2 linked regions of the Nothobranchius furzeri genome follow. The protein of the gene in region 1 purifies or fractionates together with the protein of each later gene. This does not show direct contact. Links are inferred from orthologs where the notes say so. Each region holds a gene or a part of one and is shown on either strand. Other genes may lie near its edges. The genes, in order: hip1rb and picalmb.

Region 1 (11,100 bases):
CACTATTTCTTTAGCAAACTATATTTAAATGATTAGTAAATAAAAAACAATGCCAAATAAAATCAAACATTTATTATTTGTATGACATTTACACTTCTTACAAGGGAAAGCCACCAACATCTTTACTAAAATATATTAACAGTTCTGAGAGTAGAAAGACATTTCAAACAGAGGAAAGGACAGAACATAAAAATTTTAGGACTCCGTAAGAAAGGCTTCCAGTGGCAATGGACATCTTGATGTTGTATATTAACTAACCCAACATTTTTATATTTGCCTAAAAAGAAGCATTTGATAAGTACACCTACATCCAATATAATTTGTCTGCAAGCATTACATCTACATATAGGCATTAACTATTGTTTTGTAAAGGGACATTCAAGAGATAAATGTAGAATTAATTGCACCTTCTTATACAGACTGCATATCTTTACAAGTATTATTTAATGCATTTGTAAAGTATATTTCAAGGCCTCAAAGACAATCTTAAGAAAGCTATTTGCACATGAAGGCAAAGCTAGAGGTATGTCAAACTTCTGCAGCAACACGGACACACAAAGTGATTCCCCAGTTTCCTTTCCCACCCTCAAATCATGAAACAGCAATACAGCAGTTTTCATTAAAAAGTGTGATGTGCTCAACAATGAACGTTCAAAATGGTGTGCAAAAAGGCTGGATTAAACATGATCAAATCTAGCTGTTCACCACCAAGTACAACATAGGTTATTGGATTCTGGTCAATGTTAAAGTTTGTATTCTAAAAAAGAGAAACTAGTAGTAGTTCTTTAATGCAGAAAATAATTTAAAATTAGTCTGAAATGGAAAAAAGTGTGTTCTTAATGTTAAATATTAAAATTTAAATATATGTATATAATGTGTTATGTAGAAAAAGTCAAAGGGGTAAAGATGTACCCCTGTAGGCATAAAGGGTAAAAAAAAACAACAACACCTGGCTTCTGAGCCATTTTGGCAAAAATAAAAAGGACCAATTACGAAAACAATAAGAAATTTGACAACACAAAACTGTCGACATGCAACTACAAGAAACTTGCAATCCAGGCATCTCGTAGTCGGATATTCTCGGCCTTTGCTCCTTTTTTACTTCAACTGCAACAAGAATGAAATAAAAGTTACCAATACAAATCAGAACAGCAGAAGTTTGGCTTTGACTCAAATCACACAATTCATTCACATCGAAATAAGTATTTTGCACAATTTTAGCTTAATCCCAATAAATATTTGCAGTGTTTATGACAAAAAGAAAGTCTTTTGAAGCATCAGTCACTGGTCCACCTACCGCTTTGGTGGGATGCCGGGTTTTTGAGCCAGTGGAGGTTTCCTCATGGGAGCAGGTTTGATAGGCTTGGGTGACATGGTTGCAGAACGGAATAGCGAGGAGGTTTCCTCGTTCCCCTCAGAAACCTGCACTGAAGGAACTCCAGCCAAATCATAATGCTTCTTCCTCAGCTCACCCAAACGGAGGCGCTCGTTCTCCAGTTGAGTTTCCAGTTCTAGCACCTTCACCTGAAAGGTTTGGAAACAAAAAGCTCATCGACTGAATGAAAATGTGTTGGATTTATTTTGGTTCTATAACAATCAAAATTTAAATGTGAGAAGATTTTCATCACTGCGGAATCCGTTGACTTACTTGTGACTCCATCTCTTCTTTTTTCAACTTAATTAGAGACATCCCAGAGAAATCCATGGTTTCTGTTCATTTATAAAAAGGTTATCAACAGACAGGTTAGAGGTTTTTCAGAGTTTGTGATCATCTTGTAACACAAATATAAATCTACTCACCTTTGTCATCCAGGTTCTCCTGGCCCGTCTTTGTGGAAGCCACCACATTAGCTGCCATCTCGTTGACAAGGCGAGAGGCCTGCTGGAGAACGGTCAGCTTTGTGCTATTGCGATCCGCTTTGACCTGAGAGCAAAAGGGCAGTGGTTAAAGCCGGTTTAGTCAAAAGCTTTGGGTTTACGTTAATGTAATATATTTTTTAACTTTAAGCTAGAGCTTTAACACTGATCTCAGTGATTGTTGAGTTAGAAACTTGACCAGTTTCATATTCTTGACACCACTCTGCAGCCCTCTGCTGACCAAAACCCACACTTAATAGTTCTGTGGAGTGGGTAGGTGTCTCAGGGGGCGTTCTTTAACCGCTTTATGGCTGTTGGTTGTAATGCGAATGGTTAGCAATTTCAGTTTGCCGATTGACAATAAAAAGCACAAAAAAAATAGATAAGCTACTTTGCTTTTTCTGTTGGCATAATGGCGGAGCCTGGAAGTGAATGTAAGAGACTAATGTCTTAAGCCTGAGTCATGCTTCTCCGTCAGCTCCAAAAGGGAGAGACACACACGCACGGACGGAGATATTTTGTCCTCATACTTCTCCGTCTCCTGGGGAGTGTTGCAAAGCAATTCCCCGCCAGGACAGCAGAGGGCGTAGCACTGTTCTGTGGTATACTCTGGGACGTAATTTTGGGGGGGGACGGGTGGGACATGTCCCCCCCACTTTTTCAAAAGGCAGTTTCGGTCCCCTTCACTTTTTTCCGTCCAAAAACAATATTACGCTCCATTAAATGGATTTGATTGAGCACTAGGACCGAAAGCTAATCTATTGGCTCTGCTGATACTTGCTAACGTATTATTGGCTGATGCTGCTGTCACTCAAGTTGTAAACAGTCAGAACGTGCTCACGTTGTTTTGCTAGTTTGGAGCCGCTAGGGAACACCGGTACTGAGTCACATCGTCAACTAGACGCTGTGTAATATCAGAGCTCAGCTCAGCTTCCATTACATAACATTTGAATAAGTGTTCATTTGTGAGTCTTTGGTAGTTAGGCACAGCCAGGAGGCAGCATGTCAACAAACGAAAAGTGGATATAAGAGACTTCTTTCAAAGTCAAAACGTAAGTTGGAACATGTGACACCGCTGCATTAAGCTCAGACTCACCTCCTCCTTCACAAACATACTCAAAACTAACTTTTACAAACTCATCTCCTCCACATAACTGACTCCTCAGACACAATTTATTCGTATTATTATAATTATTATTATTTATTATTATTATTACTATTATCATGATTATTATTACTAGTAGTAGTAGAAGTGTAACTTCAAAACTTTTATCATTTAACTTTATTGTAAACTTATCTATTGCAATGTATATGTTCACATTAAAAAGCTCTGAAAAATGAACAGTATCATCGTCAACAGATTTTTTTAAGCTTAATGTCAAAGATGTACTCTTTTCATTAGATTTATCTTATTTTTTCCATTTATTTTTTGTGTGTTGAAATGCAACAACTGTTTAAACACTTTTAAGGGAAAAAACATATTTAATATGTTTTTATACACTCAAATTGGTAATGAATAATTTACACATTATATTAATAATAATTGTGAATCATACTAGAACCATCCTGTAAATATTTCTGTTTGTTCCATTCCAAAATCTCCCACTGTTTATAGTTCATGCATCTTTTTTTCAGGTGACTGACAGAGATGCAGGAGGAGAGACCGGTGAAGGTACAGCAGGAGAGGCTGTAGGAGATGGAGGACGAGAGCCTGGAGGAGATGGAGCAGAGGCTGGAGGCTCACAGGTGAGGTTGAAATAATGAAGATACGATAGACATAAAATTGATCATTGTGACAAATGTTAGGGTGATGATCATGTGTAAAACATTAGTTCAGCATGTCCTCTAACACAGCAAATGAACAAACGGCCAGATCTCAGGAGGGACCGTTTATGTATAAATACTTTTTATACTTTTGACTAGGCCTGGGAAAGTAACACATTTTGCTGGATGATATTTTGTCCAACAAATTGTTGATGATAAACGATATCATTGTCAACATTATCTAGACCAAAATAACCACTAATATAATGTTAATATATCATAATAATGCAAGTACACCCTTTAAAATGCAACAAATAAACCTTCATTTAACATTGAAATGTCCAGAACCAGAACTTCTAAATGAATAAAAATAACAAACAAAAATTAAATAAAAAAAAGAATCTCACTCCCTGTTAGAAAATGTTGCACCAAAAACAATAAAAAAAGACCCAAAACAATAAATACAATGGCCTATCCATTGTCAACAGCCAAAACTGCACTTCAATAATGATAATAAATATTAATGATAATAGAGTTGTACATTTTTTAACTTTGATATATATATATATATATATATATTGAGGATGGAAAAATTATTGAGATGGGCATGTGACGTGTCAAAGGGTCTTTACATAACACCCCCACCCCAAATCCGCACAAGCCTGCTGTGTCCCCCCCACTTCTGAAATCAAAATTTCGTCCCTGGGTATACTGTCATGTATCCGGTCAAAGATAGTGTGTTTATATTGTGTTTTTTGTATATAAGAGACTTTTTAACACAGACAAATTTGTCTCATTCTCCTCCACCTCTTCATGCGCTCGCCACCTCTAAACCCACGTTTCCTGTCATTTCTGTCCACAAATAAAACGCTCGCTGCGCGTCTTTTCACTCCTCCAGTCACGGGGGAATCAAACATTCGTATTTTTAGAATTTTTTCGCGAGGAATTCCTCAAGCTTCTCCGTGTCTGCCGCTGGTTATCCTCGGCTCTCTATGTTTTTGAGGGCGCAATGGCGGCGGTGTAGATGACAGCGGTGCCCTGACCAATCACAAGCTTGCGTTCTCCATCTCGACGGACGGATGTTTAGAAAAGAGGGCTCGACTCAGTCCGTCCTTTCGGGGATCCTCCAGAAGCCCCGCAAGGACGGATAATGGTGTTGCGTGTCTCCGCACTGATGCAGACGCAGAAGCATGACTCAGGCTTTAGGAGGTGAAGCAAAGAGCTAAAACCAGAGTGAACATCAGCGTGGCCTACACTTGTTTGAAGGAACTGAAGGAGACCATGAAATCACGGACTGATGGTGACCTAGCTTTGTTGCTACTGGACTTGTAAGGAATAATATTTTTTGTCCAACAAAGTGGATCTTCTAACATCGTGGTTTATTTTAGTATTAGTTGGCTAATGTTAGTGTTAGCTCATTGTTAGCACTAGCTACAGCAGGCTGCTGCAGGGTGTTTTACAATAGTTGTAGTTCCACTTTCAACCAGTAGGGCAGAAAAGCAGGAAACCGTTCTGTTACTTTAACAGAAAAAAGATTCACCTTGGTTTGACAAATTTTATATTCAAGTTCGTACTAAAGCATGGAAGGTTTATGTCAAAGTAACATGAACTATGATCAAACCATCCCCTCTGAAAGAACCAAGGCAACAATCAGCTGAGAATAAAATCGGTTTTGGTTGCTTCTTCATCTCGGATTCAAATTTTATCTGATTTCTGAAACTGACCCTAAAAAATGCTAAATTATTCTAATCAATTGATGTGTAGCTAAATCAAGTGATAAAACATTAAAACAGTGGATTAATTCCACCTTAAAAATATTTGAATTTTTCTATCAATTTAATAAACTACAGTGTTATCCATCACATTTCATGATTGTACACCACTTTTTTTTGTCAGGTATAATTCACATGTTACCTTTGAGGCAGCCACCAGCTGAGCCGTGCTTGCAGCGATTTCATGAGAGCAGACGATCAACTCCTCATATTTACCCATGTGCAGCACCACCTTATCAGCAGAGTCTCTGCAAGAAAGCAGGAAAACATTAATCTCTGCATGCTTCCCGTCAACTGTGAATGCAGCAGCAACAATAAACAGCCATGCAAATTTTCAAACGGGAACTTACACCAACTCTGAGGCTCCCCATCCCACAGCCTTGGCAGCAGAGATGAGTCCCTCGGTCCAACGAGAGTTTCGAGCGTAAAACTCCTTAATGCTGGCTGCACCCTTAAAGAGCAAAACATCAGCACAGTTAGATGAACTCCTTTAAAAGGAACCAAACATCCTATTCAGAAACTGATGCTTAACTTTGGATTTAAAATTAGAAACACGCTGACTCACCCTCCCGCCCTCGACAATCTCCTTCTGCAGGTCCGTGGATGCGATGATGAGCATGCGAATAGCCTGAAGGAGAGCCGATGATGAGAAAACAGAGTGAGGAAAAACACCCACATTGAAAGATGCCACATTGTTTGCAAGGGGGGGGGGGGGGGCTGTTTTTTTTTACCTTCATCAGATCTGTGCAGCTAAAAAGAATCCTGAAATAAAAGAGCAAGAAGCAACGGGGTTTGGATTTAAATATTTATAAAAATCTGGAATATTTGACTCAATATTTGAATTAATTTAAAAAGCACAAACCTTTCATTGACCTCCAGTTTAACTCCGGATGTATCCTTTCGTGCCTGATTCATCATTTCCTAAAGATTCAAACCATAATAAATTTCAGTTATCTACAAATAATACACTAAACATGGGCCATTTAATCAGACGGGTCGTATAGTGTCAGGTCATCGAGTGCTCACGTCAATTCTACGAACTGCCTCTTCAATAGCTGCTGATGTTGCTGCCATTTCCTTATCGACTAGATCGCCCAGCTCCTCCTGACGGATGTCCATTCCTTTAGGCCGCAGCTCCTAGAGAAATCAAATTGATTTTTCCATTTCATTGTTTGATTAGTTTACCTAAAATACACAGTTAATGCCAGAGGTAAGAAGTGTGAGATGTGTAAACTGCGCCATCTGCTATCAGACTCCTAAACAGCTGATTGGAGCAAATATTGTGGCTCTTGCTGTATTGTTTCTATCACAACCCTGCACTATTTTTTGCATCTTTGCACAATTTTTGAAGCTCATTTTCCCCCATAGAACCTTTAAAATGCATAACTTTGCACAGACTTATACTGTTTTATAGTTTTCATTCTTTACATTTTCCTTTTCTCCCTTTATTTCACTTCATTTTTTTTATGATTATAATGGATGAGTGGATTTATGGGGATATGGATGGGTTTCTTTGTCTGGACAGCAGCTGGATTGCTGGAGTGTGTTTTTAAAGCAAACCAGAAGTTGCAGAAACTCTCAAAAGGTGAGTTAAATATAACGCACAGTTGGTCTTTTTTGCAGCAGATTCCTGAGGATTCCTCGGACTGAAACATTTAGCAGTGATGCATTCTGCCACCAAACTTCTATAAATTAGACTCAAATGTCACACTGCACCACAAAAACCTGCAGGTCTGTTCAGATTTCTCTCACCTGACCCAAATGCAGGATCTTCTGTACGATTATGCGAACAGAAGCTGGATCTGCCTTCTGGAGGGTGTCCTTGGACTTCAAATCCTTCAGGTAATCAAGACTCTGTGTGGCACAGCTTCTGCAATTTTCCGTCAGTCCTGTAGGGCATCAAATGCTCACACTTCTGCATTTTCTGTTCAGAAACAACCTTGTATCCAAAATTGTTTCTATGGATCTGAGAGTGTTATTAGTAAACTAATATTTGTTTTCTCTGTTAATAAATGCCGTGGAGAATGCACAAGTAATAAAAGGGAAATTGATATTCTTCTTACTATCTGCGTGATCAGTGGGTGCCATGTGTGCGGTAGCGCTGCCGTTAACGATTGTGTCCGCAGCCAAGTGAGAGAACTGGGTCAGAGCTCTCAGCAGTCCTCCAGCATCTGGTTACAAGAAGAAAGGAAGAAAGAAGCATCTTTAGAAAACCAGATGAATTTAGAACACAGTGTTTCGAGGTCAAGTTAAATTAGAAATTAGAGAAACTCACCAAACATGTTATGCAGATAATCTGCATGGCCCTTTTTCACTTTGTCGATGGAGCTCAGCGTGGCCTCTGCCCGGTTTATGAGGTAATCTGTTTGAACGAGAGCCAGAGCGTTACATTAAAAAGTTAAATCAAACACATAGCCATGTGAAATAAAGATCAGTTTGTGTTCTCTTTTTAATTTCATCTGTTGGTAATGGGTTTATTTCAGTTTGAAACATCAGAGGTGGTCTGACCCGGAGAGCTGGTGCAGCGTATGTGGAGAGGATCATCCAGCTTGGCAGCAGCATCCTGGATGATGTTTTCAGCTTCTGCTATGGCTCCCTGCAGCAAAGCAAACTGCTCTTCCAGAAGCTTCTTCTTCATCTGCTCTTCTTGGCTCGTCTGTTTAAAACAAACAAAACAGAACACATAAACAGGCATGATTACATAATTGTTCCAACGCTAGACTGCATATGCATGTATCCAAGCATTTAATGATACCCACCCAGCTACGAATACACAATCCTCACATTAAAAGCATTTTAGATTATTACTATTAATAATGATAATGAGTATAATAATAACTATTTTGGGGTGACTCAATATGGTTTTGGGGTGCTCATCCAAACATAGCTTTTCAAAGTGTTTCGAGTTACCGTGGCAACCTTGTTAGGAAAAAAATTGCAAAAAACGTTTAACTGTGCAGGCTGGCAGGCCTTTCAAATATTTTTTCAAGAATTTTCTAATTATTACAAATAATATGTTCAGAACAGTAAAAAAAATCTGTAACTCTTCTCTGGACTGTCACAACAGTAATTCTGCATATTTCCAACTTTATTGTAACAGGTAATGTTTGACAAACAAAAAGTGAACAATGTCAGCTGATGTTTTGGACACGACTGTTTTGGGAATAACACGGAACAGAAGATTTTCACTGACATTTCCTAACCGGCTCAAACCCCATAGGAAAAAAAGCATTGGACTTGAAATTCTTCAGTCTGAAATACAAAGTAAAAGTCCGTCTAATACGGCAACATCCCATGATCGTGTTAGATGAAAAGATGTCACTCATATGTTTATGATTCATTTCTAAGCTTGTGCTGTAACAACAAAAGTCCAGATATACAAATTCACCCACATCCTGCTTTACAGCCCGTCTCCTTCATCCTTTTTAACTCATTTGATGCCAGCGTTCCTCACTGTTTTTACAGTTTTTTAAAGAAGAGCTAAGATGTTTTTTCTCACAGTGTGGGGGCTCGTTCCGATGCCCACACAGTAAAAAAAATGCATATGACGACTTTAATCGTCATTGGCAGTGAACGGTTGGGTTTAAAATGACGACTTTAGTTGTCAATGGCAGTGAATGAGTTAAGCGGTTGCCAGTTATGGATGCTACATGTGGACAACTTCTATATGGCCCCTTTCCAGCTATTGACCCTTCTGTTAAAGACTTCATTCACAGGCCTGTTTTTGTGATCTGAAGAGCTCTTTAGAGCTTTTATCATGGCAGAATAAGATGGCTGAATGAACTAGTATTTTAAAAAACCCATCAAGCATCCCTTTGTTCATCCTTAGTCGGAAAATTAACTTATCTTTGCGTAAAATAAACATCTAAACATAAAAACAACTTGTTCAAAACCAAAATTTATGATTCAATGTGCTTTTAATAAAGCAATCAAAAATGCTGCTGCGAGAAGACAAATGTCTGCACTGCAGAGTGTTCAGGCTCCACCGTCCTGACTGACCTTCTCCTTCAGCTTGCCCTGCAGCTCTCCCAGCTCCCTGCTGCTCCTCTCTCGCTCCTGCTGAAGTGACGACTGCTGCAGCTGCGACGCCTGCCGCAGAGACGACAGCTCCGCCTCCTTCTCACTCACAGATCGCATCAGACGCTCCTTCTCCGCTTGCAGAGCTGTCATTGAGCTGCTCATTTGCTCCGACGTCTGTCAAAGTAAAAGAAAAAGAGCAATGAGAGTTGCCAGAAAGGGCAGATGGCTGAGACGGAGATGTCCATCCGGAAACGGCTCTCGCCTTGAGCAGGGACGATGAAACCTCTGATTACTAAATCAATGAAGCAACCCCAGATGCACGCTCACCTTTTCACTGCTTTGCAGATTTGCTTTGATATGCATCACTTCTGCCATCTTCTCCTGCAGCTCTCTTCTCACTCGCTCCACCTCAAACCTCTGCTCTTCTAACTATAGAAACATTACTTAGTTTTAAAAAAATTCCATCATCTACATCCATAAAGTCCCTAAAAACCCAAACCAACCTTCATCTCTGACTCCTGTTTGATCCGTTCCACCTCAAAGGACAGCTGGTGTTTGGTCCTCTCCACTTCCTCCTGGGTCTGCTGGGTTACCGACAGCATCTTCACAGTGTCTGCACTCTGTTAGCACATTAACACATTTCAGGCCAGGTGCTGACGTGTAATTGAAAGCAGATACACCTTAACTGGTCTGGAGCCTATACCCTGCGGAGCAGCTCAGCGTGGCTGGCCACCAGTTCGGTGTGCTTCTCTTTCAGCTTGTTGTAACGCTGCTCGGTGGCCTGAGCCTTTTCTGAACAAACGAAGATAACAAACGTGTAATCATGCTTGTGATCACAGCAATTTCTGGTCAAAATGGGATTTCAAGGCACAACTTACTCTCCGCCTCGATGAAGGTGATCTGTAAGCTCTCGTGTTCTGCAATTCGAAGGTGCGTTGTGTCCAGCTCCATGCGCAGCTGCTCGTTTTCCACAAGAGCACGCTGTTTCTGCACGCGCTGCTCATCCAATTCGGCCTCCAAACTGTTGATTTGGGATTTGAGCTGCGTGACATAGCGTTGAGCCTTTTGCAACACAAAATGCAATTTAGACGCAGTAAAGACTTAAAGTGGGAATTTTTTATTATGTAGCAGAAACATAGTCATGAAATTTAAATCATTTCAATTCAAACTAAACTTCTCAAGAGGACTTGTGTAACTCCTTTTAGAGATTACTTGGTACATTCTACATGCTCAGAAGCAGCATGACCCAGATTCCTGTGCACATAGATCACTGTGCCTTTTATTGTCACACAAACAAGGGAAAAGAAGGCTGACTCTCAAGCACCAGGCTACTCAGCAAATCTTACCTCTGATTTCATCCTCTCCAGGTCCGCTCTCAACATTTCAAGCTCCGTCTTCAGGCACTCGATCTGCAGATCCCTGTTGGACAGCAAACCCACCATCAACACTCAAAAGCCAAACCATGCAGAGGGAAAGAAAACAAATGTGGCTCACCTTTCATCAAAGCCGCCATTTGGAGGTCCAAATGTCTGATCGAATATGTCCATTTGCTGAATAAGAAAAATAGATTAGAAAAAAGGTTAAAGAAAAAAAAACTGTTGAAAACATCTGTGACTGGGTTCCCATACCTGTGGCTGTGTCTGAACATTAGATGCTGAGGTGTGACTGACTTCAACGAGCGGCTCTG
Region 2 (10,656 bases), on another chromosome or scaffold:
ACCATTGTGTTGTTGGCGTGTCTTGTATTTGAGGGTGTGTGTGTGTGTGTGTGTGGATGCTTCTCTGAAGAGTTAGACTGCAACGGGGACAACGTTTTGCTGCTAAGTGCTTCATCTTCTGAGACACTTCATTCAAATTACATGAACTGCATCTGAAAGAGAAAAGAAGCAACAAACGATGTCAGAAAGAGGCGATTCAAAACGTTTGTTCTGCTTTTAACGGCTGAAACGGGACGCGTGTTCACACAAACGGTGTGCAGAGGTGGTCTGGTGGTAAAAATTCTCTTTTATGAGCAAACATGGAAGCAGCAGAATAAAAAAAAAAACATGTTCGTGAAATAAAACCGTTTTATTACTAGAGATTTTATTACATTTGATCATTTTCCGGACTACATTTTTGGGCCGTTCCTCGTCTTTAGATACGACTTTATAATATTTCACAAAAAAAAAGTATTTTGAACTTTTATTGTCAGCATCTTCAACTATAGAATCAAATGTTTCTGAGATAAAAATCTGATTTTCTTGAAAGGAACCGAACAAATCGAGGTTGAATTTAGACAAAACACCAAAGTGTCGTTCGTGGCCGAATTCTCGGCATTCAGAGACATTTGCACATTTACTTGTTATTAGTTTTCTTAAGAGCTTTAAGTTTTCAGATCAAGTTTGCAATAAAAAATTGATTTTCAATAAAATCAAATATAATTTAGATTTAAATGAAAACCAGCGTGTGCTTCAGAGCTTGCAGGGATTATCTGGATGTTGGAGCAGTTGGTCGCAAACTTGGGAAATGAATTTTGTTTTTATGAATAAATAGTTTAATAGACTGGCAGCGATTATTTGGAAGTTATGATTAAATATTAACTCCGATGGAACAAAGCTCGGCGAACAGACAAACAGCAATGAGTCACAAAGGAGGAAGAATGGTGAATGAGAATGGGTTTCACTCAAAAACAAGCGTGATGTTCAAGCAGCAGAGACGACAACAAAAGGCGGGTTAAAGCAGCTATCTGACCTGATGAAAACACAAATATTAAAAACAACATCTGCACAGGACAAGTAACATGCAGGTGCATCTGCAAGCAAAGAGCATGATGTACCTAAAGAGATGCTCTACAAGAAATCCTTGAGAGAGAGGTGTGCAAACGGGTCCTGTCCAGGGGCTCGGAGAGGACTCTGGCTGGAAGGACTAGAGGCTGCAGAGGGCTAATACAGGAAGTGGGAGGACCAGAGGACAAGTCAGAGTCAGATCAGAGACTGAAGGAGGGATGAGATTAGCTCGGAAAAGCTGTGATGTATGATAGATGAGTTAATTATTAAAAAAAGGAGCCGTTCGGAAAGACAAAACAAGAGATGATGATCCAGTTTTGTCGCTTTCAGCTCCAGAGAGTGAAGGGTTGGTTGTTAAAACTGTCATCATCTTCGTCTGTGTTCACACCGACGACAGAGCGCACACCGACTAGCTATGGGCACACCACACGGGACAATGGAGACACCGTTTTACTGGAAAAGCCACCCGGCTGCAGCCTGCACCCACCTGAGCACTCGACACGGAGCCGAAGGGGTTGGGTGGCCTCATGGCGGGCTGGGAGTACATCATGGTGGGTGGATTCATCATCCCCATGGAGCCCATCTGTGGAGGCTGCAGGGTGTTTCACACACATCACATCACTCATCAGCATCTGATTTAAAGACTTCCTGTTTACAAAACAGAAACTCTGGCTCCATTTATGATTTCTACCTTTGAAAATCCCCAATCTATATTTTTATTTTATAAATGGCTCCAATCGGTCTTTATTCAACCATTAAACGGCTAGAATTTGGTTTGGGTTTCATTAAGTGGTAGTTCTCCCCCCCAGTGCCCCCTGAGAGTAACGCTAAGTGACCACTAGGTGGTAAAGCACCAAATCGTTTATGAACCATCAGTGTGCTCAAACAAATCCTACGATCCTGCTGTTACTTAACCTGGTCAGGTTACGCAACTTTAATCGGATTATATTAAAATCACATGACGAGCCACAGCAAGCGTCTGTAAAGGCTGAAACCCACTAAAGTCCCCGACAGAAAACAGCAGTTTGGTTTTTGACTAACTTCACGCTCCAACCGCTGCGAGATGTTGAAGCGCTGTTAGCGCCGTGCTACGGCTGCATCTTAAGGACATTCCACATGCCGTCTCCATGACTACGATTGGTCAAAAGACGACTCGTAACCTGTTACAACAAAGATGGTTTGTGAACAAGATGAACGCCCCTCCTCTCTCTGAAAACCCATTCTTATAAAGGCCCCCCCCCCCCCCCCCAAAACAAAACCTCTTCGACCCACATAAACATCAAAAACTGATTTTCACTGAAAGTTTGCGAGTATGACACAAACACATTTAAATCCACAGCAACAACCTAATTTAAGACTCGACTACATTAATAAGACTTTAAAAGAGTCGCAACTTTCCCTAAATCTACTTGGCAACTTCTAATACTTTAAGACCCAGTGGATACCCCGTGTTCACAGGCGTCCGCCTGACGGGTGCAAACACATCCACACTCACACTCACCATGCTGTATCCCATCATGCCTGTAGGTGTGGTGGCAGGAAAGGCCATGATTGATGGAGGCTGAAATATAAAAACGTGTTTTATAGAAAAAGCTATAAGTTGGATCACTGTACATTTGATAAATTGCTATAATATGAAAATCTAAATGCTGTAAGACCAACTTCCTTGTTAATAGGGCTGCACAATATATCGAAAAATTATCGTCATGGCGATAACGGGACGTGCGATAGGCCCATCGCAAAGCGCGTCAAAAACGGCGATAAATGTTTGGTTCAACATTTCCATCCCTGTCATACATCAGCTTTTTGTAAACCAGCTCTGTTTTTTACACAGAAGTATTATTTGACCAATCAAATGTAGTCCTTCTGATATGCGGCCAATCAGATGGGTCCATTCACGTAATACGCCCGCCCCCTACGTAGACCCTTACCCAAAAATTCCACCATCTCCGCTCCACCCCCGCTTTCCGCTGCAGCTCGTTCGTCATGCAGGCTCAGATAAACGAACGCACTTTGTGCTGAGGTTTCTGGAATCAGCGCTGCTTTCAAACGTGAACGTGAGTCCGCTCGGTGTCGTTAAGCAGCTGATAATAACCGGGCTGACTCCGACACGTGCCGGTGAACCAACCCACCGTTAGCCCCAGACTCCGGTTAGCTTCCAGCTAAAAGGCTACAGCACTCTCCTCCCAGTCCCACCCTGAGCTGCTAAAGAGGGCCTGGAAAAGTTCCCCCACACATCAAAGTGATTTTTCCTTTATGAGCTTTTATAACCTTGTTAATCAGGATAGTTGATTTGCTGCTGCACATAAACTGTCAGTCAGAAGCTCTGCTAGCCGGTTATCTTTAGAGGAGCTAGTTCAATTTGTTAGCTTGTTATCAGAATCATAGTAGCAGTTTCATCATCTGAGCTGCTTTCTAAGATCTAGGTAAACTTGTTCAGTTTGGGGTTAAAGACAAACGTTTTCACATATTTTCCATGTAGTTTTTTGCCAGTTAATCTTCTGAAAGGTAGACAATTGTTTTTCTCTTTCCCTCAAAAAATCTTAATATTCTCCTAGTTTGGCCCGGCACAGTTCACTTCCCAATTACAGCAACAGCCTTATATCATAACCACATAAGTGGAGAAAATGCTCAGTAGCAATGAGAGAATTTGCTGTTGCATCTAAGTGATGTTAACTATTATTTAACATTTAAACTTATTTACAGATTTTTTTTTTATTTATTCAAAAACCCTGGTAAGGGATGTTTTTCTGTATTTGGAGCATCAGAAAAGGTTTTATGGTGGAGGTGATGTTTTAAATTCACTGAGAAACTGCATGCATGCAGTTTGTTGTTTTGCTGCTAATACAGTAGCAGGTGCAGCTGCATATTTTTGCAATAAAAATGTTATGTTGTAATGGAATTCATGCATTAGTTTTTGTTTGCTTTGAACCCAGAGCAGACGTCACACGCCAGACGACATCAACACTGCATACTTTAGTATTTGTTCATTTATCGTGAGTAATATCGATATCGCAATATTAAGCACTGTTATCGAATATCGCAGGTTTTCCCAATATCGTGCAGCCCTACTTGTTAATATTATTTTAATTATATTACACAAACCTAAAACTGTTTACACTCTCAATTCTGCCATTTATTAATTTCTTTTCAAAGTAAATAATTTAGTTTTTCTTGTCCTAATTTCTTTTCCAAATTTCCTATTTTAATAGCTTCAAACGTTTTCTCGAACCCAAGGGTTTATAAATTAATACTAAATTAATCTCGGTAAGATGTTTAGGAGATGATCGGAGGTTCTGATGCAGAATTACTGAAACCAGAGAACAACAGGAGAACTGCAGCAGCTGAGAGGATGAGCACAACAGTGGTGTGTGTGTGTGTGTGTGTGTGTGTGTGTGCGTGCGTGTGTAAGAGTCACCATGGAGACGGGGTTCCAGGTTGTGGTCGGCGCCGCCTTGGGCTGCCAGTTGGTGCCGCCAGTCATCCTCTTCTCCCCCGGCTGGCTCCAGTGGATGTCACTGTGGATCAACACAGCTGGCGTTAGCGGCGGCTCAGAGAGACACAAACACACCAGGAAGCATCACTTACTTCTTCATGGTGCCGTTCCCGATGCCGAGGTCTAAACAGAAGAAAAACATTCATCAAGAGGGTGTCAGCTTGACAAGTGTTTTAGCCTTAACGTAAGTGTGTGTGTGTGTTAATTAGTTCAGATAATAATAATAAAACAAACACTCACTGCCAACAAGGTTGGCCAGAGAGGAGTCGAGGTCATCCGACACCAGCTTCTCAGGCTGCTGATTGGACAGCTGGTTGGAGCCAGCTAGAGTCGGTTTCAGGATGCCTCCAGCAAGATCTGACAAAATAATTAAAATCAGAACAATTAGACTCCGATCTAAAGTAGCGAGCCTTTAATCTGTCAGAAATAATTGGATATTTGTGTTTTAAGTTCTTGTAAATCGATAGTTTGCTCTTTAGAAAACAACTCGTCTTAAAACTGAAAACGAGCAGCAAAGGCAGACTTCTCGTTCCCTGCCCCGACGTGGCCGATTTAAACGGTTAAGTCATCAACAGGCTTCTGCAGAACGTGAGCAGGTGATTAAATCACCTGATTCTGGGGACTCGAGAGGGAGAGGCCCTTACGTGGAGGGCTTTCGTATCTCTGGGAATGAGGGAGGAAGCAGGAGATCAAAAGGTGGACTGGAGCAGCGGTTGTACTGAAGAGGAAGCTAATCCGGAAACTCCAATCCTCATCTACGGTCGTGAGCTTTGGGTAAAGACCAAACGAACGAGATCGCTAATCCAAGCAGCCAAAATGAGTTTACGGAGCACGGCGTCTGGTTTAGTCTTTAAAGGGTGAGGAGCTCAGACATCCGGTAGGGATTGAAGGGTAGAGCTGCTCCTCCAGTTCAACAGGAGCAGGAGATCTACTCCTGGATGCCTGAGCACCTCACCCAGGGGAGGTGTCTCATGCTCGTCCTGCCAGCAGGAGTCTCCTGCATCAACCCAGGACAAGCTGGGTGAAAACAGCTCAAAGGTAATCTGAACGCGAGATTATATGAAGCAAAAATAAAGCTTCTGCGTTTGTGGGCGCTGGTTCTCTTGAGGTTAAACATTAAGTGACTAAACTGCAAAAAAAAAAAATAATAATACAAAAACTTGCATTGCTGCAACAGTACAGTATAAAAATGACCAATTATGTCTCTTGTGAGACAGCAGATATAAAAACGTCTGACTAACGCCTGTAAACCTACCAATCTGAGCGATTCCAAGTTAAAACTGGAATTTTATCTTTGCTGTGCGATTATTCTATTGAGACTATTAAACAATCAGAAAACCTCCACTTCACAGTCTTACGGCTGCAGCTCAAACCCGATGGAGAGAAACAGAACCTCGGGTGTTTGAATCCTCACCATCAGAGTTGAGGCTACTGCTGCCGGCGGCTTTGTTTCCAAAAACAGACTCAAAGTCCACTTGAAGTCCTCCTGCTGAGTGCTGTGGAGGAGCCTGTGGCGTTGAGTATCCTTCAGGATGAAACCAAGAAGCTCCGGTTACAAAGTTACATTCGGACTGGATTCCCAAACATAAAAATCACAAGACAGCAGAGAAGCAGGGTTGCTGAAACGAGCGTTTATCTGCTGCTGCGGGAGCCGAAGAGCCTTCTATACACTACCTCTGAACAGACCTGCTACAGCAGAGGGCTCAGCGGGGAAGGGGGCCTGGTGTGGGAGGTGCTGAGCAACCGACACTGGACCACAGAAGGAGTCTGACACGAAGCAGGAAGACAAAGAAGAGGAAACAAAGGAAGAAGGTGCTTCAAGGTCAAGTCAGAGAGACAGGTGAGAAACGACAGCAGACAGGAAGATGCTAACAGGTCCACACCTCCGTCTAGTTTAGGGATTAGGTAAATGACCAGAACAGCAAAACACCAAACGATGATGATAATAATAATAATAATAATCATAATAATAATAATAATAATAATGGACCAAGGGGGAAAGGGTTAAAGGTGCAGTTTTACATTTTGGGAATTTCTGTTTTTAGTGATTATTTCTGATCATTAGATACGACTTAGGACTTCATGTCTTTAGCTCTTTTTATACGAGGTGTGAATACGGCTTCACATACATCAAGACATTTTGTGTCACTTTAAATGTAAAAGTATAAATAAACTGCATTGAAACAAATCTACTAGGGCTGGGCGATGTGGCCGAAAATCAATATCACGATATATTGAGGATTTCACCTCGATAACGATAAATTGACGGTAACTAAAGGTGTGTGCAGAAACAAAAGTTGTCCACTAGATGGGGCTGTCACATTTTACGTGACTCGAGGTGGTACAGCTTCTTAAAGGGACATGAATATTGCCAACCTACACACACCTTTTCATTTTTTTATCAAATTTATTGAAATGGGAAAAATCATCACGATAAGTCCGATAACGATACATTTTCGATGTATTGCCCAGCTCTAAAATCTACATAAACAAAAGATCTAAAACCGACATTTTCTAAATTCTGAAACTTTTGGGGGAAAACACGACCCAACACGTCCTCTAATTCATCACACATTTGTGCATTTCTAGTATTTTTACTCAAGAGGATCGAGCATCCCGTTTTCAAACATCCAACAAAACTACCCAGGATTACAAAGTAGGAATGTCCCAAAACAACTTTTTCACTTCCGATACCGAAATACTGCCATATGGCCAACATCGTTCTTGTTCCTTGCTACTTTGCTAGCGTGCACGGTTCTGATCATGCAGGCTTTGCATGCTGCATCTGCTGGTTAGAATTGCTAGAATTACATTTAAAGCGGAATAGACAACTCATATCGGAGATTTTTGATGCATTCCGATAAAATCGGAGTGTTTTTTGGCCGATATTGGACCTATTTCAGACGGGACATCCCTATTACAAAAGCATTTGAAGTGCATATTGTAAAAATCACCCTTTTTCTTGCTTTACCCAAATAAAACCTTATTTTGGCTCCAGTCATTTTCAAATAAAAGAATCAAAGTGGATCAAATGAAGCAGAAAACGAGGTATGCGAGTACTTAACCGTATTCTACAGAGAAAATTGGTTGTTTTATTCCCAAAAGTGCAAAACTCTTCCTTTATAATACTTTTACTCTACAATAAAACTTAAAAATAATGGCATTGGGGATCATGGTAGGTTTGATGTTTTTAGGAAAGACAGGCTGAGGTGGTGATCCAACAAAGTACCTGAGACGGACGATTCTATCCGCACTGTGCGTTTGTAATTGGCTGAAACTGATGAGTTTGAGTCAAAAAAGGGATTGTAACAATCTGGAGAATCAAAAATAGTGTTACAACAGACACAAACTTAAAGCTCTATGGTATCTTTACAAAGCAACACCAAACTGTTTAATAATAAAAGAAGAGCGGTAGATGCAAACTCAATCAGCAAGATATGGATCGCTCCAATTCATACAAAAGATGAGTCGGGATTAGGGTTGTCATGGTAACCGGTGTAGCGGTAAACCCTGGTAAAAAAGTTGACAATAATAATAACCATCTTGTTTTTAAAAAACTATATTATCTCGGTGGATTACCGTGGCTGTGGTGTAGTCGCGGTGACCCTTACCAGCCACCGTATCATCTGCTGAAGTTGCCAAAGGCACATGTGCACTTTGTTTACAACCAAAACTTTCTTGAAGCTAAAGATGAAATAATGGTCAAAGGAGGAGACGGCAGCGCTCAGGAGGACATTTATTATCCCTCAAAGAAGACAAAGTGGGAAGTACGGGCATCTTTTAGATATTTGAAGAATGTCGAGGGACAGCTGATAGAAGACGGCTATCCTGTTTGCAGCACGTGCAGAAAAAGTGTCTGTGAAAGGCAGCAACGCTTCAAATCTCATGACACATCTGCGTGACCATCACCCACAACTCTACAGTCAACGCAAGGCAAGCTAACATTAGCGTTTTAGCTAAAATGCTTGATCCGAGGATTTGGGTTGAGGGAGAATGCAACGAGTCGCTATATAAAGCAGCCGCAGCGCCGCTACCTGCATATAAACCGTGTCACGGACACCGCCATGTTGAAATGACGCTATGCATTACGGGGCTCCCAGGGGCAGATAAGAGTTGGTCTCTCCGAGAATAATTATGAATTTAACAATGATTACTGCCTGATGACATTTCCCCACATCTGCAAAGCTCACTGGAAGGACACAAACCGAGGACGATATTTTCCTGATATAGGGTTTAGTACTCCAGTATGGGTAAAAAAAAAGTATCTGACTAGAAGGCTACTTGAGTACAGAGTATCATCTGATCTAATATTTTTAAAATGTTGACAACAGACAAAAAATAAGTTATGGGCAAATATTGGTATTTTAAAGACTAAAGGGGAAAAATGTAAACAAATAAACATAATTACAAAATAACAAATTTTAGGCAAAATTTAGACACTAACTGAGGACAATATTTTCCTGATTTACAGGGTTTATTTTGAAAATGTAACGTTTAAAAAAATACTGCGATAATACCGAAAACCATGATCATTTTGGTCACAATAACCATGAGGTTAAATTTTCACACCGTGACAACCCTAGTCGGGATGTTTGGATTTCATATGAGGCAATTCCCATTTGCCGATACCAAACAGAGGTACTTCTTTAACCTCTGATTTCTATCGCTATGAATACGTTATGTTGTTTGTTGCTCTGACTGGTCTTGGCGCTGTCCAATGGAGTGTGGAGACCGTTTGATGGACAACCATAGAGTCCATCCCTCGACTGAGCTCTGACTATGGGTTGTGGCCAGGCGAGTATTCAGCCCTAAGACCACGCACATACGTAGCAGAGTATTCCACAAAACTAAGATAACCCACGTTGCCTGCTGGTGGTGTCGGAGGGACCGGTGGCGCCAGTGCTCGGCCTCTGTCAGTGCGCCCCAGGGCAGCTGTGGCTACATCATAGCTCATCCCCACCAGTGTGTGAATGTGTGTGTGAATGGGTGAATGACTGATTGTGTTGTAAAGCACCTTGAGGGGTTCCAGGACTCTAGAAGGCGTTATATCAAATACAGACCATTTACCATTTAAGATACTTCTCTAACGTTTGGCCCGTCATCCACATAAAAGTGAATGTGGATGAAAATAACCATGGTTTCTGGTTTTTGCCATGCTTTGATGCCCCCATATGTACCCCGTGTTTACACTTGCTATTTTTTACAAGCTCTAGGGATTTTTAAGAAGACCACAGGCAAGGATAACATTGAAGACTGTTATCTGCCACCTAGTCATTCCATGTCCAAGGAATGTTTTTCAGCAAAGACAGACAATTTGGAGAACTACTGCCACCTACAGGCCTGGCATGCCTACGAATATGCTTCACGAAGCACTGGATTGTTCTGCTGTAAACAAGGTGGTGTGGACCCAAGTTTCTTTCCTAGATAATCGGGAGAGGATGTTTGTCCAGCAGAAACCCAGCTACGTGTGTAAATGGACCGATTTTAAAACTACCGTCTAAATTCAACGAGTTCAACAGCAGACAACCATTATTTAACTCAAATTTCCACATCTTGCAGAGCGGAGGAAAAAGCTCTTCTGGATTAAAATAAATTGTGAAAATAGGACATTTGTGTTATGGAAGTGTTTTCTCATTACCAGTTGGGAGCCATGTGCCCTGACCTCTACTGCCCATGAGGAATACTGATGTTTGCCCACTTAGCCCTGATGTTCAACAGATCTCATGCAGCAGCACGCTTAAAGCAGACAATCATGGTGAAGCTAAACGCAGGAGAAGCAAGACAAGGAGCGCGTCTACTTCATTCTACCAGGCTAATGCTAAAATTATTTAAACAATGAAGGAGGACATAAACGGTACGAGTGAACTTTGCACAAAAACACAATATATATAACATAATTAGGGTTGTCACGGTAACCGGTATAGCGGTAAACCCCGGTAAAAAAGTTGACAATAAAAATAACCGTCCAATTTTGAAAAAACTAAATTATCTCGGTGGGTTTACCGTGGCCGCGGTTTCAGCGCGGTGACCCTTACCAGCCACCGTCGCTTCAGCTGAAGTTCCCGCGGCGCACACACGCACTTTTTAGTTTGCAACGGCACCAAAACTTTGAA

The links.
Region 2: the proteins of hip1rb (region 1) and picalmb fractionate together in Homo sapiens (co-fractionation; 3 studies listed by BioGRID and IntAct, with this or other methods). This does not show direct contact. The link is inferred for Nothobranchius furzeri from reciprocal best matches to the Homo sapiens genes HIP1R and PICALM.

Annotation. Positions count from the first base shown.
Region 1 is NC_091757.1:46,637,738-46,648,837, forward strand, and holds the end of hip1rb (huntingtin interacting protein 1 related b), read right to left. Parts: coding exon 11,042-11,100; intron 10,964-11,041; coding exon 10,908-10,963; intron 10,833-10,907; coding exon 10,760-10,832; intron 10,476-10,759; coding exon 10,292-10,475; intron 10,206-10,291; coding exon 10,117-10,205; intron 10,034-10,116; coding exon 9,917-10,033; intron 9,843-9,916; coding exon 9,741-9,842; intron 9,588-9,740; coding exon 9,393-9,587; intron 8,050-9,392; coding exon 7,902-8,049; intron 7,756-7,901; coding exon 7,669-7,755; intron 7,565-7,668; coding exon 7,457-7,564; intron 7,283-7,456; coding exon 7,146-7,282; intron 6,531-7,145; coding exon 6,420-6,530; intron 6,315-6,419; coding exon 6,256-6,314; intron 6,156-6,255; coding exon 6,125-6,155; intron 6,022-6,124; coding exon 5,959-6,021; intron 5,845-5,958; coding exon 5,744-5,844; intron 5,642-5,743; coding exon 5,536-5,641; intron 1,925-5,535; coding exon 1,801-1,924; intron 1,711-1,800; coding exon 1,649-1,710; intron 1,525-1,648; and 5 more. UniProt on the Homo sapiens protein: Component of clathrin-coated pits and vesicles, that may link the endocytic machinery to the actin cytoskeleton. Binds 3-phosphoinositides (via ENTH domain).
Region 2 is NC_091753.1:49,933,138-49,943,793, forward strand, and holds part of picalmb (phosphatidylinositol binding clathrin assembly protein b), read right to left. Parts: intron 7,857-10,656; coding exon 7,773-7,856; intron 6,311-7,772; coding exon 6,218-6,310; intron 6,069-6,217; coding exon 5,958-6,068; intron 4,901-5,957; coding exon 4,784-4,900; intron 4,667-4,783; coding exon 4,636-4,666; coding exon of another isoform or gene 4,632-4,635; intron 4,566-4,631; coding exon 4,466-4,565; intron 2,609-4,465; coding exon 2,549-2,608; intron 1,640-2,548; coding exon 1,535-1,639; intron 1,204-1,534; coding exon 1,111-1,203; 3' UTR 1,098-1,110; intron 153-1,097; coding exon of another isoform or gene 138-152; 3' UTR 1-137. UniProt on the Homo sapiens protein: Cytoplasmic adapter protein that plays a critical role in clathrin-mediated endocytosis which is important in processes such as internalization of cell receptors, synaptic transmission or removal of apoptotic cells.